Linked DNA regions of Rattus norvegicus. The protein of the gene in region 1 purifies or fractionates together with the protein of each later gene. This does not show direct contact. Links are inferred from orthologs where the notes say so. Each region holds a gene or a part of one and is shown on either strand. Other genes may lie near its edges.

Evidence for each region. Proteins that work in one complex are often made in the same cells at the same time.
Region 2: the proteins of Atp6v1a (region 1) and Atp5f1c fractionate together in Homo sapiens (co-fractionation; 3 studies listed by BioGRID). This does not show direct contact. The link is inferred for Rattus norvegicus from reciprocal best matches to the Homo sapiens genes ATP6V1A and ATP5F1C.
Region 3: the proteins of Atp6v1a (region 1) and Atp6v1f fractionate together in Homo sapiens (co-fractionation; 3 studies listed by BioGRID and IntAct, with this or other methods). This does not show direct contact. The link is inferred for Rattus norvegicus from reciprocal best matches to the Homo sapiens genes ATP6V1A and ATP6V1F.

What each region holds. Positions count from the first base shown.
Region 1 is NC_086029.1:70,094,990-70,098,501, reverse strand, and holds part of Atp6v1a (V-type proton ATPase catalytic subunit A), read right to left. Parts: intron 2,392-3,512; coding exon 2,240-2,391; intron 36-2,239; coding exon 1-35. UniProt on the Homo sapiens protein: Catalytic subunit of the V1 complex of vacuolar(H+)-ATPase (V-ATPase), a multisubunit enzyme composed of a peripheral complex (V1) that hydrolyzes ATP and a membrane integral complex (V0) that translocates protons.
Region 2 is NC_086035.1:73,332,290-73,336,493, reverse strand, and holds the start of Atp5f1c (ATP synthase subunit gamma, mitochondrial), read right to left. Parts: upstream 2,810-4,204; 5' UTR 2,772-2,809; coding exon 2,716-2,771; intron 1-2,715. Other genes in the region: Kin (DNA/RNA-binding protein KIN17), read left to right, coding at 2,999-3,112.
Region 3 is NC_086022.1:59,031,774-59,035,828, forward strand, and holds the start of Atp6v1f (V-type proton ATPase subunit F), read left to right. Parts: upstream 1-1,246; 5' UTR 1,247-1,290; coding exon 1,291-1,448; intron 1,449-3,767; coding exon 3,768-3,969; 3' UTR 3,970-4,055. UniProt on the Homo sapiens protein: Subunit of the V1 complex of vacuolar(H+)-ATPase (V-ATPase), a multisubunit enzyme composed of a peripheral complex (V1) that hydrolyzes ATP and a membrane integral complex (V0) that translocates protons.

The DNA.
Region 1 (3,512 bases):
CACCTGGAATAGCAGTAGTTCCTCCCTGAACACACCTGAAGGGCAACAGAACAAAAATCAGAAGAAATGTTTATTATGCTGTTGGCTTGCTAATGTATGCTGCTAAACAAAGTAGGTAACTGATAGAAAAATACCTGTAAGGTAATTACTCTGAAACATTTCTATACACGCAGAACATACTGTCATAATTATTGGCAACTCCTTTGTGCCTAACAGCATGTTTTAAGGTGGATGTAAACCAGGTGTGACGCGGCATGCCTTTTATCTCGGCACTCAGGACGCAGAGGCAGGTGGATCTCTGTGAGTTTGAGGCCAGCTTGCTCTACATGGTGAGTTCCAGGACAGCCAGCGTTACATGGATTAAGCAAGTCTTTAACAAAAGAAAGATGGACGTGGCAGTTATGCCTATATTCCCAGCATTTGGGAGGCTGAGGCAGTAGGATTACCCATGAATTGAAGGCTAGCTTAAATTACATAGCATCCCAGGCAAGTCTGAGGTACAGAGTGACATAGTATCCTGAAGTAACAAAAGACAACTTAGCACGTGTTTTCTTCTGATTAGCCATCGTTATCACGTACAGTGGGTGGAAAGTGGAAGTGTGCTCCATAAGACACCGAGGAAGGGTCTTCAGAAGCCATATGAACGCAGGCAGGTAATAAAATAGCCTGAATGACATTCCTGCTTGCACAAGTCTGTTCACTGAAGAACACAAGTGCATCTCCTTCATAAGGGGTAGAGAAGGGCCTAGGAAACTTACATCTTGTCATAAAGTTCAGTTTAGTCAGGAAGAGTAATAAGGCCACCCTGAAAGAGCCCAGGTCTGAAGGAGGGCAGAGTATACTTACAGGAGGGAGACCTAAGAAATACTCAAGCTTATAGGAGTAGGGAACAGGGGAGAACAGGGTGTCCATGTCAAGGCAATACTCAAAGCTGTGACAAATTAAAAATGTATTGTTCGGTTCAAGAGACCAGCAATGCTAAGGGCAGGACAGAGCTCCCATGGGTTAGAGGAGAAGCACCGGTGTCATGTGTATTCCTCAGGAGTTTACCATGACAAGACTGCAGGGACACGTAGAAAGGATAAACTCTAACACTGGCCGCTCCTCTCCTCTTCCCTTCCTTTCTCTCTCACTAGACAGGAGACTTATGAAAAGAGGCAGAAGAGGGAGACACACTTGAGGAACCCAGATATGTAATGAACCCCAAAAGGGGAAAGAGAGAGGAGGGAGGTGGAGCTTCATAGTGCCTGATTTCTCAGTGAAGAAGAAACGAGAAGGAGGAGACGTGGAGTTGAGCATCTGAACTACACAGAGAAGCATGAAGCAGCCGCAAGGCCAGCAGACAATTATAGTGGGGGAAGGGCTGCCATGGCAGTGTGGTCAGAAATCAATTTCTCGGATCATCTGGTTGCTCTCAGTGGCGTGTGCAAAGCAGAAGGGAACAGCTGGACGGCTCCACAGTTGGAATTTCGCCAGGTGAGTTCTGGCAAAAAACAAAGTTTTATTATACCACTAGGAACTACTCCTAAGTTTCAGTCTGTGGAGTATATTCTGAATAATGGACACAGACAGGAGGCAATGAGCACAGAAGAAGTCAAAGCACAGAGGTCTCTTCGGGAAAGAAACAGGGAGAGCTCCCCAAAGAGCCAGCTTCAGTGAGAGTGCAGGGGAGGCTGCTCAGCTCAGCTAGGTGGCAGGGGCCTGCTTGGCCAGTGGGAGGCACTGACTTTAATGATAAATTTATAGTGATTCAAGGTTGAACAGAAACCAGGCATTAAACGATGAGGTCATTGTAGAAAATACAGCGGCATACAGTAAAGCCACGTGTCTAACAAAAGACAGTAAAATTTTCTAAGCCAAGAAAACAGAAAAGAGCACACTATAAATTACTACCCGTGACAGCATACGGAGTCCATTTGACTTTAGAAATTAACGATTTACAGCAATGCCAATTTATTAATTCTAGGACAACTTAAAGTTACTTATATGCTTTGTCACAGATAGTCTTTTGGAAATTTTATTTTTCAGGAAGTTTTTTTTAAATACAATGTTGTTCGGGACTATAGAGGAAAAACCTTTGCCTCTTAATTATTGGCAACAGATGTAACTAATTCATCATACTTGCCCTAGATAAAACCTATCGCTGTATTTAATACAGAGAACTCATATCTGCAAGGATTACGAAAAGGCTGGTGCACATGATACCTTGGGGGCAGACAGTGGGAGACAGCAAACTTACGGGAAAAGGGCATCGAGCACTCTCTGGCCAGTAAGCAAGGGGTGGTTGGCTGGCAGCTTTTCAGTGACAGGCCGCACCTGACGCACAGGCCACACTTGGACCATGCTCAACTTCTCCTTCACACCTTCAAATTCAAGCTCCAGGACGACATCCTGTTAAAACACACAAATGTAAGGCAGTAAAACTTTAAGGGTGGCTAAGTCTGTGAGTCACTCTTCTTCCAAAACCCAAGTAAGTAAGCTCAGGTTACTCTCGTGGATAGAAGGCTGATTTTATAAGAAGGGAGGTGTATAGTTCTTGTTATGTGTCTTTACATATAGTCATACTTCTTTATACTGGGTGCATCACCATCTCACTGACTAATATAAAGTATGGTAGGAAGTCTTTGGAAGGAGCACATCAAGTAATAAAGAGCTACATAAATTGAACAAGCACGACAGGTAAGTCTTAAAGGCTATACATGTTCCCTGGATTAGGGAAAAGTGGAAGGAAGTGTGAACTTACCTTTCTCCCTTTTTCATTATCACAATCATATTGCTCTAATTTAGAAATACATTCTAAGAGTCCCAAAATATTATTATTTTTATTTTTTGTTAATATTTTTAAAAGGAAGTGATAATATAACAACATCTATGAACTGTTTAAACCACTCACAAGTAACTCCAAATTCCAGAAGAAATCTGTAGTCTGGTTAATATGAATGGTCTGTTCCAGGGCAAGTCCTCCATTTAGAATGAGCAAGTCTCTAAGCTAGTGAACAAGTCTAGACAGCTGTTGTAGAATCTCAAACTGACAAGTGTTCTCTACATGTTATAAAGCACACATTTTTGTAAATACTTTTGAAAAACTGCTTATTGCATTTTACTATGGGGACATTACATGTTATCATGGATTTCTCAATAAAATTATATGCCTATTTAGAAACTGCTACAACTCTATTGTCTGACACTCTGCGACTATAGGTAAAATAAACTAAGTTACAAATGATACACTCAAGTAAGAACTCATATAATCTACTATATAATTAATTATGTGAATCCTGATTGACAGTTAAAAAATCATGTTTATTCTAAGCCTGCTGAATGAGATATAGGCAAACCCATCAGTTAAGAAGCTAGGAAATGTCATATTTCTTTTTAAAAAGGTATATTCTTGTTCTTGTATGCTCAAGTCCAGGTCTAAACAAAATTACCCTTAAAAATGGCATAGCTCAGTGGGAGTGAGTGCCTAGCATATGAGCCTCTGGATCTGTTCCCTATCATCATGAAAATAA
Region 2 (4,204 bases), on another chromosome or scaffold:
AGCATTTGCCTGCCATGTTCAAGGCCCTAGCACTAGAAAAAATTAAAAGCCCCCAGTCCAAACAAACAAACCCCAAAGTTTTGACTTACATATTTTTTTTTTTTTGGTTCTTTTTTTTCGGAGCTGGGGACCGAACCCAGGGCCTTGCGCTTCCTAGGTAAGCGCTCTACCACTGAGCTAAATCCCCAGCCCCTTGACTTACATATTTTGATTCTGGTACTACTTAGGCATAGAGAAAGAAAAATAACAGACTATACAGAAAATACCAGGTTTGGTGGTAAAAATATAGAAAAGGTCAAAGTTGGAATATATGACAAACCATGTCAGCACACCAGCTCTTGGATGGTGGTCGTTCTCTCAATCCCTTCTAGAAATGGCACAACAGAGGTAACAACACTGAGCTGCTTCGCTTTTTCCCTCTCCTCAACGGTGCTACCCAAATGCTCCTGATTTACTGCGAGTCTTTTTAGGCACGTGCTTCACTTGAACCGACACGGCCTCCTCATAACGGAATACTGCATGGATACAGTGTGAACCGCACACTGTATTTGGATTGATATGATGCTTTTGTTTTTACATTCTGAGTCTGTGGTCTATCAAGGAAATGTCTTCCCTCTGTGCAGTGCATGCTACCACTTCAAGCTCAAGACCACATACCACTCAATCACTGAATGGCCGTGAGGTACCTGACTGCCTAAAAATATTATGGGGCAAAATATAAATACGGAATGTTGAGTCTCAAGGGGAGAAGTCAAAGGACAAATTTTGGGAGTTGCCTCTCTCCTTCAACTGTGTGTCTAGGGAGCTAGAACCGGATTCAGGATGTCAAGCGTGTACCTCTTGGGCCCCCCCTTTGAGCCTTTAGGACAATCTACACTACTGAATTTCACACTGAGAGGAGTCCACACTGAGAGGACAAAGGGTCAGCTACTACATCATGTCCCGACTCATCTGAGGAGGCTAGAACAGAAAGCTGGCAACACCAAACATGCTGATGGAGAAGCAGGTGGACCGTGGGTAAGTTTCAGCATCTCTGATCGTACAGTGTTATTTGAAGACTTCAAGTCAGTATAGGAAGGAATCGGGATCGATGCCTATGAACGAATTAGCAGTCTAGAAGGAATGTTGGGAGTGTGTAAGGCTGCACATAGAATTAAGGAAAACACCTAGCATTAGCTAACTCAGGAAACGTTTGAAGTTTATCAAATGCTGACAATGGCCTCAACTACACTTGACAACAGAATCGTCTTTTTACACACTGTATATACACACTCTGGAAAGAGCTCGTGTCTGCTGAGCAGCACCGGATGTCACCAACTTTCCCAGAAGCTCAAAGACCCTTCACATCTTAACACCTGTGCCGGGCCAACTGGTGCAGGGCAGGCACTCCACAAATGTCTGCTGAGAATTCAACTGCTGTTGACCTCCACAGTTAAGTAACCCAACCTGAGGTTAGACTCAAGGTTAATCTAACACACACCCCCCGCCACACACACACACACACACACACACACACACACTGAGTTTCTCTGGAACTCCCTTTGTCCACTAGGACTACCTAGAAGGCACTGAGACCACCTGCCTCTGCCTCCCAAGTGCTGGGATTAAAGGTATCCACCACTACCATCCGGCCAATATTCTTCATATACATAGTTTATATCATATTTAATTTCCTCACTACTTTGGAGTCTTAGCATATTGCTACAAATTCTTTGCTTAATGAAAGAACGATTTCAACTAGTTCGTGGCAGTTCCCTAAACTAGTTTACAAAACCCTAGTTTAGTGCTGGAGCGCCTTAATATTCCATACAGTAAAACCAAGGAATCGCTAAAACACTGTCCACAGTTAATCTTATCACCAATTCTAGCCACCTAGCTTCAAAGTAGTTGATGTTATTATACAATGTCACCCATAACCACATTTTATCTGTCCATCCCTAGGCATTCTAATATACAATTTTATTGTACTCTGCACAGAGAGTATTAAACCTTACCCTATCCCTTTATCACATGGCAGTTAACAAATGTAATTTTATTAAGGCCTCCTTCTCCTACCGAGGGACCTTGGGACAGTTTTATGACCTTGCAAGGATTTTACTTCAACATGAGGGCGTGTTGACATCGGCAGATCTTTTTAAGCCCCTTCAGCACCAAGGCGACCAGCAAGTGCGGGAGGGGGCTGATTTTGAGTTCCTTCGTTTCTTCAGTAACCAGCAAAGAGCCTGATGGATACACAGCGAGTGCCAGACCAAAGAGCTCAACCAAGCGATCACACCTTAAAGGGTCACTCCCCAGTGCAGTGTTTCACAGGGCGTCAAAGACAAAAGTTACAACTTAACTAGGGCTTTCTGCCGGATCTCCCCTTCACCTTGAGGCCCTTTCTAAAGACTTTGCAAGATGTGCTCCCTAGTACGGAGCGGAAGTACGGAGTTGATCGAAACCCAGATGGCTCCAACGCTCAATCCGACTCTCGTACGGGTCCTGAGGTCCCAGGTGGCCGTTCCAGTCCCAGCGGATCAGGCCGTGACCTTGTTCCCTTTGACCCCAGCCCCGGGACTGGCACGCGACCTTCCAGCTCTGCAGACCTTGCCGCGGCCCGAGTGGCCGGGCCGTGCAAGAGCTGGGGTCTTCCTCCGCCAGGAGCGAGCATGCAGCCCCATCCCTCCTGTCTTGCAGCAAGCCCAAGCCCCGGCATGCCTCCCGGCGTAGTCATACCATTGCGGCTGCAAGGAGCAGGCCGACAGCCCGACAATACTCGCCCGCGAGAACATGGTAGAACCTTGAAGGTCGGGCAGACGAGGCTCACTGCGCGTGCGCGGGAGCTCGGGGAGCAGCGGCCTGCTCCGCTAGCGCCCTCAGTCTCGCTAAATCTCGTGAGCGCGGAAGCCGCGAGGTCCCTGGCCCCACCCACTTCCTGCTGTCAGTTTTGGTCCCGCCTATCCGCGCGCGGGTCCAGTTCCGCTTCCGACGGCTTCGCTGTTGTACTCTCAGGGTCGCCATGGGCAAGTCAGATTTTCTGAGCCCCAAGGCCATCGCGAATAGAATTAAGTCTAAAGGGCTGCAGAAGCTTCGCTGGTACTGCCAGATGTGCCAAAAACAATGCCGCGACGAGGTAAGTGGCTCAGGGTGGCCGCGACCCCGAGGGGCCTGACGGCGACCCTGGTACCCTCGGCTCTGAGCGCTCTCCGGCTCAGTCTTCCTCAGCTCGGCGCCTGAGGTCTGTTTCCTCACAGCCCTTAGCGCCGCCCTCCAGCTCCCCGAGAAGTGATCCCAGACAAGCACGCACTGACACGTCCACTTGCTAGGCTCCGTACAGCATTGACGTTTTACATTTAGACTTCCCTGGTGGGGTGGGTCAGGATTAGGAACTCAAGTTTCTCCTCTTAATAGTGATAGGGGCTTGGACAATACTGCTAAAGTAGGGGTAATAGTTGTACCTACCTGCAAGGTTGTCACTGAGGTTCTTTTTTGTTGTTTTGTTTTGTTTGTTGTTTTGTTTTTTGATATTTTTAGACAAGGGACTCCCCATGACATAAATACCCCAACCCCCCTTGCTATTGTTATCCTAGAGTTTCAATATATGGATTTCCAAAGGGACAGGTTTGCAGTTCATCACACCTAGAAGTTACCCCTTAAGTGGTTTTCCCTATTTCCTTTTTGTCTGAAATAGAGTAAATTATATAACTATCAGTATACCTTCACCCCTGAAAACTTCATTGTGATCAACATAACAAGTAATCATATTAATATTTCAATTTATGTCAAAATACCACCAATATAACAAACCTAATAAAAGTCCTGTACATTATTTGATACACACTTTATTATTTTGTTTTGGACACAGTGTCGATGTAGCTTTGGCTGGTCTGGAACTCACCATGTTCATAGACCAGGCTAGCCTCAAACAAGATCTACCTGCCTCTGCCTCCCAAGTGCTGGTATTAAGCACCACCCCTCTCCATATTAATAATTTCTTGGTGGTCTCATGGTGGTGATGGGGACCAGGAGGCTTGATTATTAAGCAGTGCTCCAAGTTCAATGTTTTTCCAAGACAGAGTTTCTCTGTGTAGCCTTGGCTGTCCTGGAACTTGGCTGGTTTTGAACTCATACAGATCTGTCTGTGTCCGCCTCCTTAGTCTGGAACTAAAGGTGTGCACCACCACTGTCCAGCTTCAAAACTCTGGCTTACTTGCACTCATTTCTT
Region 3 (4,055 bases), on another chromosome or scaffold:
TGGCCAGTGTGATCCAGACCCTTGTCCTGACTGCCTGCAGAAGACAGTCTCCTTCTGGCTGCCTTCAAATCAAGACATAGACCTCTCGGCTCCTCCAGGACCATGTCTGCCTGCGTGCTGCCATGCTTCCTGCCATTATAGATTAAACCTCTGAACTGTAAGCCAGTCCCAATTAAAGGTAACCTTTGTAAGAGTTACCCTGGTCATGGCATCTCTTCAAATGTGCTGGTGCCCCTCTTACCTGTAACTAAGATGATATTCTAAGCTGGCCTTGAGCTTGTGGCCATCCTCTTGCTTCAAATCCCCTAAATGCTGGGGTTGTTTTTATGTGTTCTCAAATTTAGCAACTAACATGAGGCCTTGCTTGGCTCTCTACAGCACTGCACAGTGTCATTAATCTCTCCATTTCCTTAGTAATTAAATATAGATTCAGTAATCGTTAGCCACATCATAGTTAACGTGCATGTGTACATCATTCAGATTCAGAACTTGACCTTCCAGCTAGGAAATATCCTTTCTTGCGGTAGCCCATGTCCCTAAACCTGGATGAAGGCAAGAGTTCGAACAAACGAATGAAGGGGCAGGAAATACTGGTGCAGCATTCAGGAGGATGAGGCAGTAGGATCACTTGCTGCAAGTTCAAGGCCAACCTGGTCTATATTCTGAGTTCCAGCCAGCAAAGGCAACATATAGAAGATTTCAAAAAAAAAAAAAACTACAAAATAAAACCAAGAAAAGGGGGGAGGGAGTTTGTCTTGGTGGCAGGCACAAGCCTTATATCCTAATACTTGGGAGGCAAATAGTGAGACCTCTCTTTAAAAAGTAATAATAAAATAAATTTTAAAAAAAGCACTGGGTTGACCAGATAAACCCCAAGGAGACTCCCATAGGGTATACTATGACCTCACAAACTTGGGCTCGCTCCACCGCCATCCTGCACTCGCCTCCAAAACCACAAATATAACCAAATATATGTATGTATGTATGTATGTATGTATGTATGTATGTATGTATGTATGTATGTATGTATGTATGTATGTATGTATGTATGTATGTATGTATGTATGTATGTATAGGACAGAATGCTAGCAAGTGGCCTTTGACGCTCAGCCTTCTGGGAGATGTAGTTCTGTGGTTCCCGTCTCTGTGGCGCAGGAGTAAGCGGATTGATCCGAGTTCCTGCTAATGCGCGTGCCCGGGAGGCGGGGGACTGCGCATGACTGAAGGGAGGGGCCGCTGCGGGGGCGGGGCATCACTGCTGTTTGGGGAGCCTTCTGCCGGGCCGACAGGATGGCGGGCAGGGGTAAACTAATCGCAGTGATTGGAGACGAGGACACGGTGACTGGTTTCCTGTTGGGCGGCATAGGGGAGCTTAACAAGAACCGCCACCCTAATTTCCTGGTAGTGGAGAAGGATACCACCATCAATGAAATCGAAGACACTTTCAGGTACGGTAGCCTGTGAGGCCTAAATGGGCTCTTCCGCTTGCACGGGGAGAATTGATGGCCTGTTCACCTGGGTGTCAGGGGTCGATGAGGATCGGGATGGTCCCGGAAGTCGTCTCTCCAGGAGCAGGTGCCTCCGCCGTCTAAGTTCCCTTCTGGGGTCCAGTGGGGCCCGGCCTACGGCAGGTCCATGAGCTCCACATCACATGACTGTGTGTCAGTTTAGAAGAGAGTGGAGCTTGTTATCTGCCCCGGCTGTAATTGGACTCCTGGAGCCTCTGACCAGTGCTGACCGGCACGCTCAGCCCACTTCCGGGGTCCCTGACGCTCACCTGTAGCGCATTCTCTGGACCTTACAGTCTTTTCGACTGTGTCCTAAACAAACCACCTCCAATGTAGGTCCGGGCAGTCAGTGGGCGCGCGCGCGCGCGCGTGTGTGTGTGTGTGTGTGTGTGTACGCTCACAATTGTCCTGTGTGTGTGTGTGTGTACGCTCACAATTGTCCTGTGTGTGTGTGTGTGTGTGTGTGTACGCTCACAATTGTCCTGTGTGTGTGTGTGTGTGTGTGTGTGTGTGTGTGTGTGTGTGTACGCTCACAATTGTCCTGTAAGGTAGTGGTCATTCCCACCTCCAATGTAGGTCCGGGCAGTCAGTGGGCGTGTGTGTGTGTGTGTGTGTGTGTGTGTACGCTTCATTTATTTTAGAGGCTCACAATTGTCCTGTAAGGTAGTGGTCATTCCCACTTACTAGTGAAAAAATAAAGGGCGAATAGGTTAGGGCACAGACCCGAAGACACACCAGCCATAAAAGGCAGAACCCAGGTCAACTCTTTAATTATGGAGTTTGTGTTTGTGTCCGTGGGTAGGCGTGCACACATGGAGGTCAGAAGACAACTTTGTGGAGTCGGTTTTCTTTCCATGGGCTTTGAGGATAGAACTCAAATAACCAGGCTTGCATAGCTCACACCTTTACCTGTGCCTTTCTTAAGCTATTACCTACTCTGTGTATACAGTTCCTTGCAGTCTGCCTTGGGGTTTCCATTTGTCTTTTGACAATGGGCAAAACTTCTGGGAAGTATGACCTTCCACAAAGACCTTTTACTTCAACTCCTCACTTCATGCCCTGGGTCATAGTTTCAAAAAGTGGGTGCAGGCATTGCTTTTAAGCCAAAAAGTGCCCTGTTGACTAGAATTGTGGGTGCCAACTCCCTATTTTTTCCTCTCACTCCTCTTCTAGAACTACTATGCAAATCTCAGGAATAAACTGCCCTCACCTGTTTTCCCTCAATAGCAGAGTCCAGGGATGCCGGCTGAGACTAGTTCCCACAGCCTGGAATGTGGCAGGCTGTGTCCTGGGAGACTGATCTCTAAGGAACCAGTAGTGTGACCTCCGTTGTCACTGGAGGACAGATCTTACTTCTAAGAATTTACCATGTTTCCAACAGGAAGGAATCCTAAAACCAAATCTGTTCCATGCTTGGCACAAAGTTGGTGCCCAGTAAATTATTTCTAATGAGTAAATACATGGTTGAAGGGGCATGCATGTCTGTGTGTGGAGGTGATCACATGAGAGGAAGGCCAGAATGACAGTCTCTGTCTGGAAATAGTGATTCGTTCACTGCTGAGTTTCCTCTTTCCATCTTGCCTTTGGCTCATAGCAGATGTCCTCCTGGTCCATCCCCTTAATCAGCATAGAACTGTAGGCCTTCAGTGGTCTCCTCGACCCTAGCTCTAAACATTCAGTAAAAATCAAAAGATATACATTAAGGAATCACTCTGCTACTCCATCCTTGCATTTTTCTTGATTTCAACCACTATCAATAATAAGAAAAAGGTTTTGTTGTTTTGTTTTATGAGACAGGGTTTGTGTAGCCCCAGCTCTCCTGGAATTACCTCTGCGGACTAGGCTGGTCTTGGTCTTTTTTCTTTTTTGTCTTTCCTTCCTTCCTTCCTTCCTTCCTTCCTTCCTTCCTTCCTTCCCTTCCCTTCCCTTCCCTTCCCTTCCCTTCCCTTCCTCCTTTATTTCTTTCTCTTGGTTTCGTTTTGTTAAGGTTTTTTGTGTTTCTAGACTCTTACACAGATACAAAGGTGCTCATACCCAATTTCCTCGCCTCTGCCTCTCTTCCACGGAGGCAGCATATAGAACACACTGACATGGATCCTGGTCTTCATTACCAGTTCCCTCCATGAGCAAATGTGTGGACTCCAACCCTGATCAGTGTGGTTCTGAGCTCCTGAGTGCAATTGGTTCATCCAAGGAGAGATAAGGTTGAAGGCCTTATGCATGCAGTCACTGTCATTCCCTGCTCTTCTCCCCCAACAGGCAGTTTCTAAACAGGGATGACATCGGCATCATTCTCATCAACCAGTACATCGCAGAGATGGTTCGGCACGCCCTCGATGCCCACCAGAGGTCCATTCCAGCCGTCCTGGAGATCCCGTCCAAGGAGCATCCCTACGACGCAGCCAAAGACTCCATCCTGCGCAGGGCCAAGGGCATGTTCACTGCTGAAGACCTGCGCTAGGGCTGCTCAGCCCTTAACCCTCCTCTCGCTTCCAGGCCTCTCCCAGTTTGCCACCCTCTATTTAAGTTTCAAGCCTTGGTTTCCAG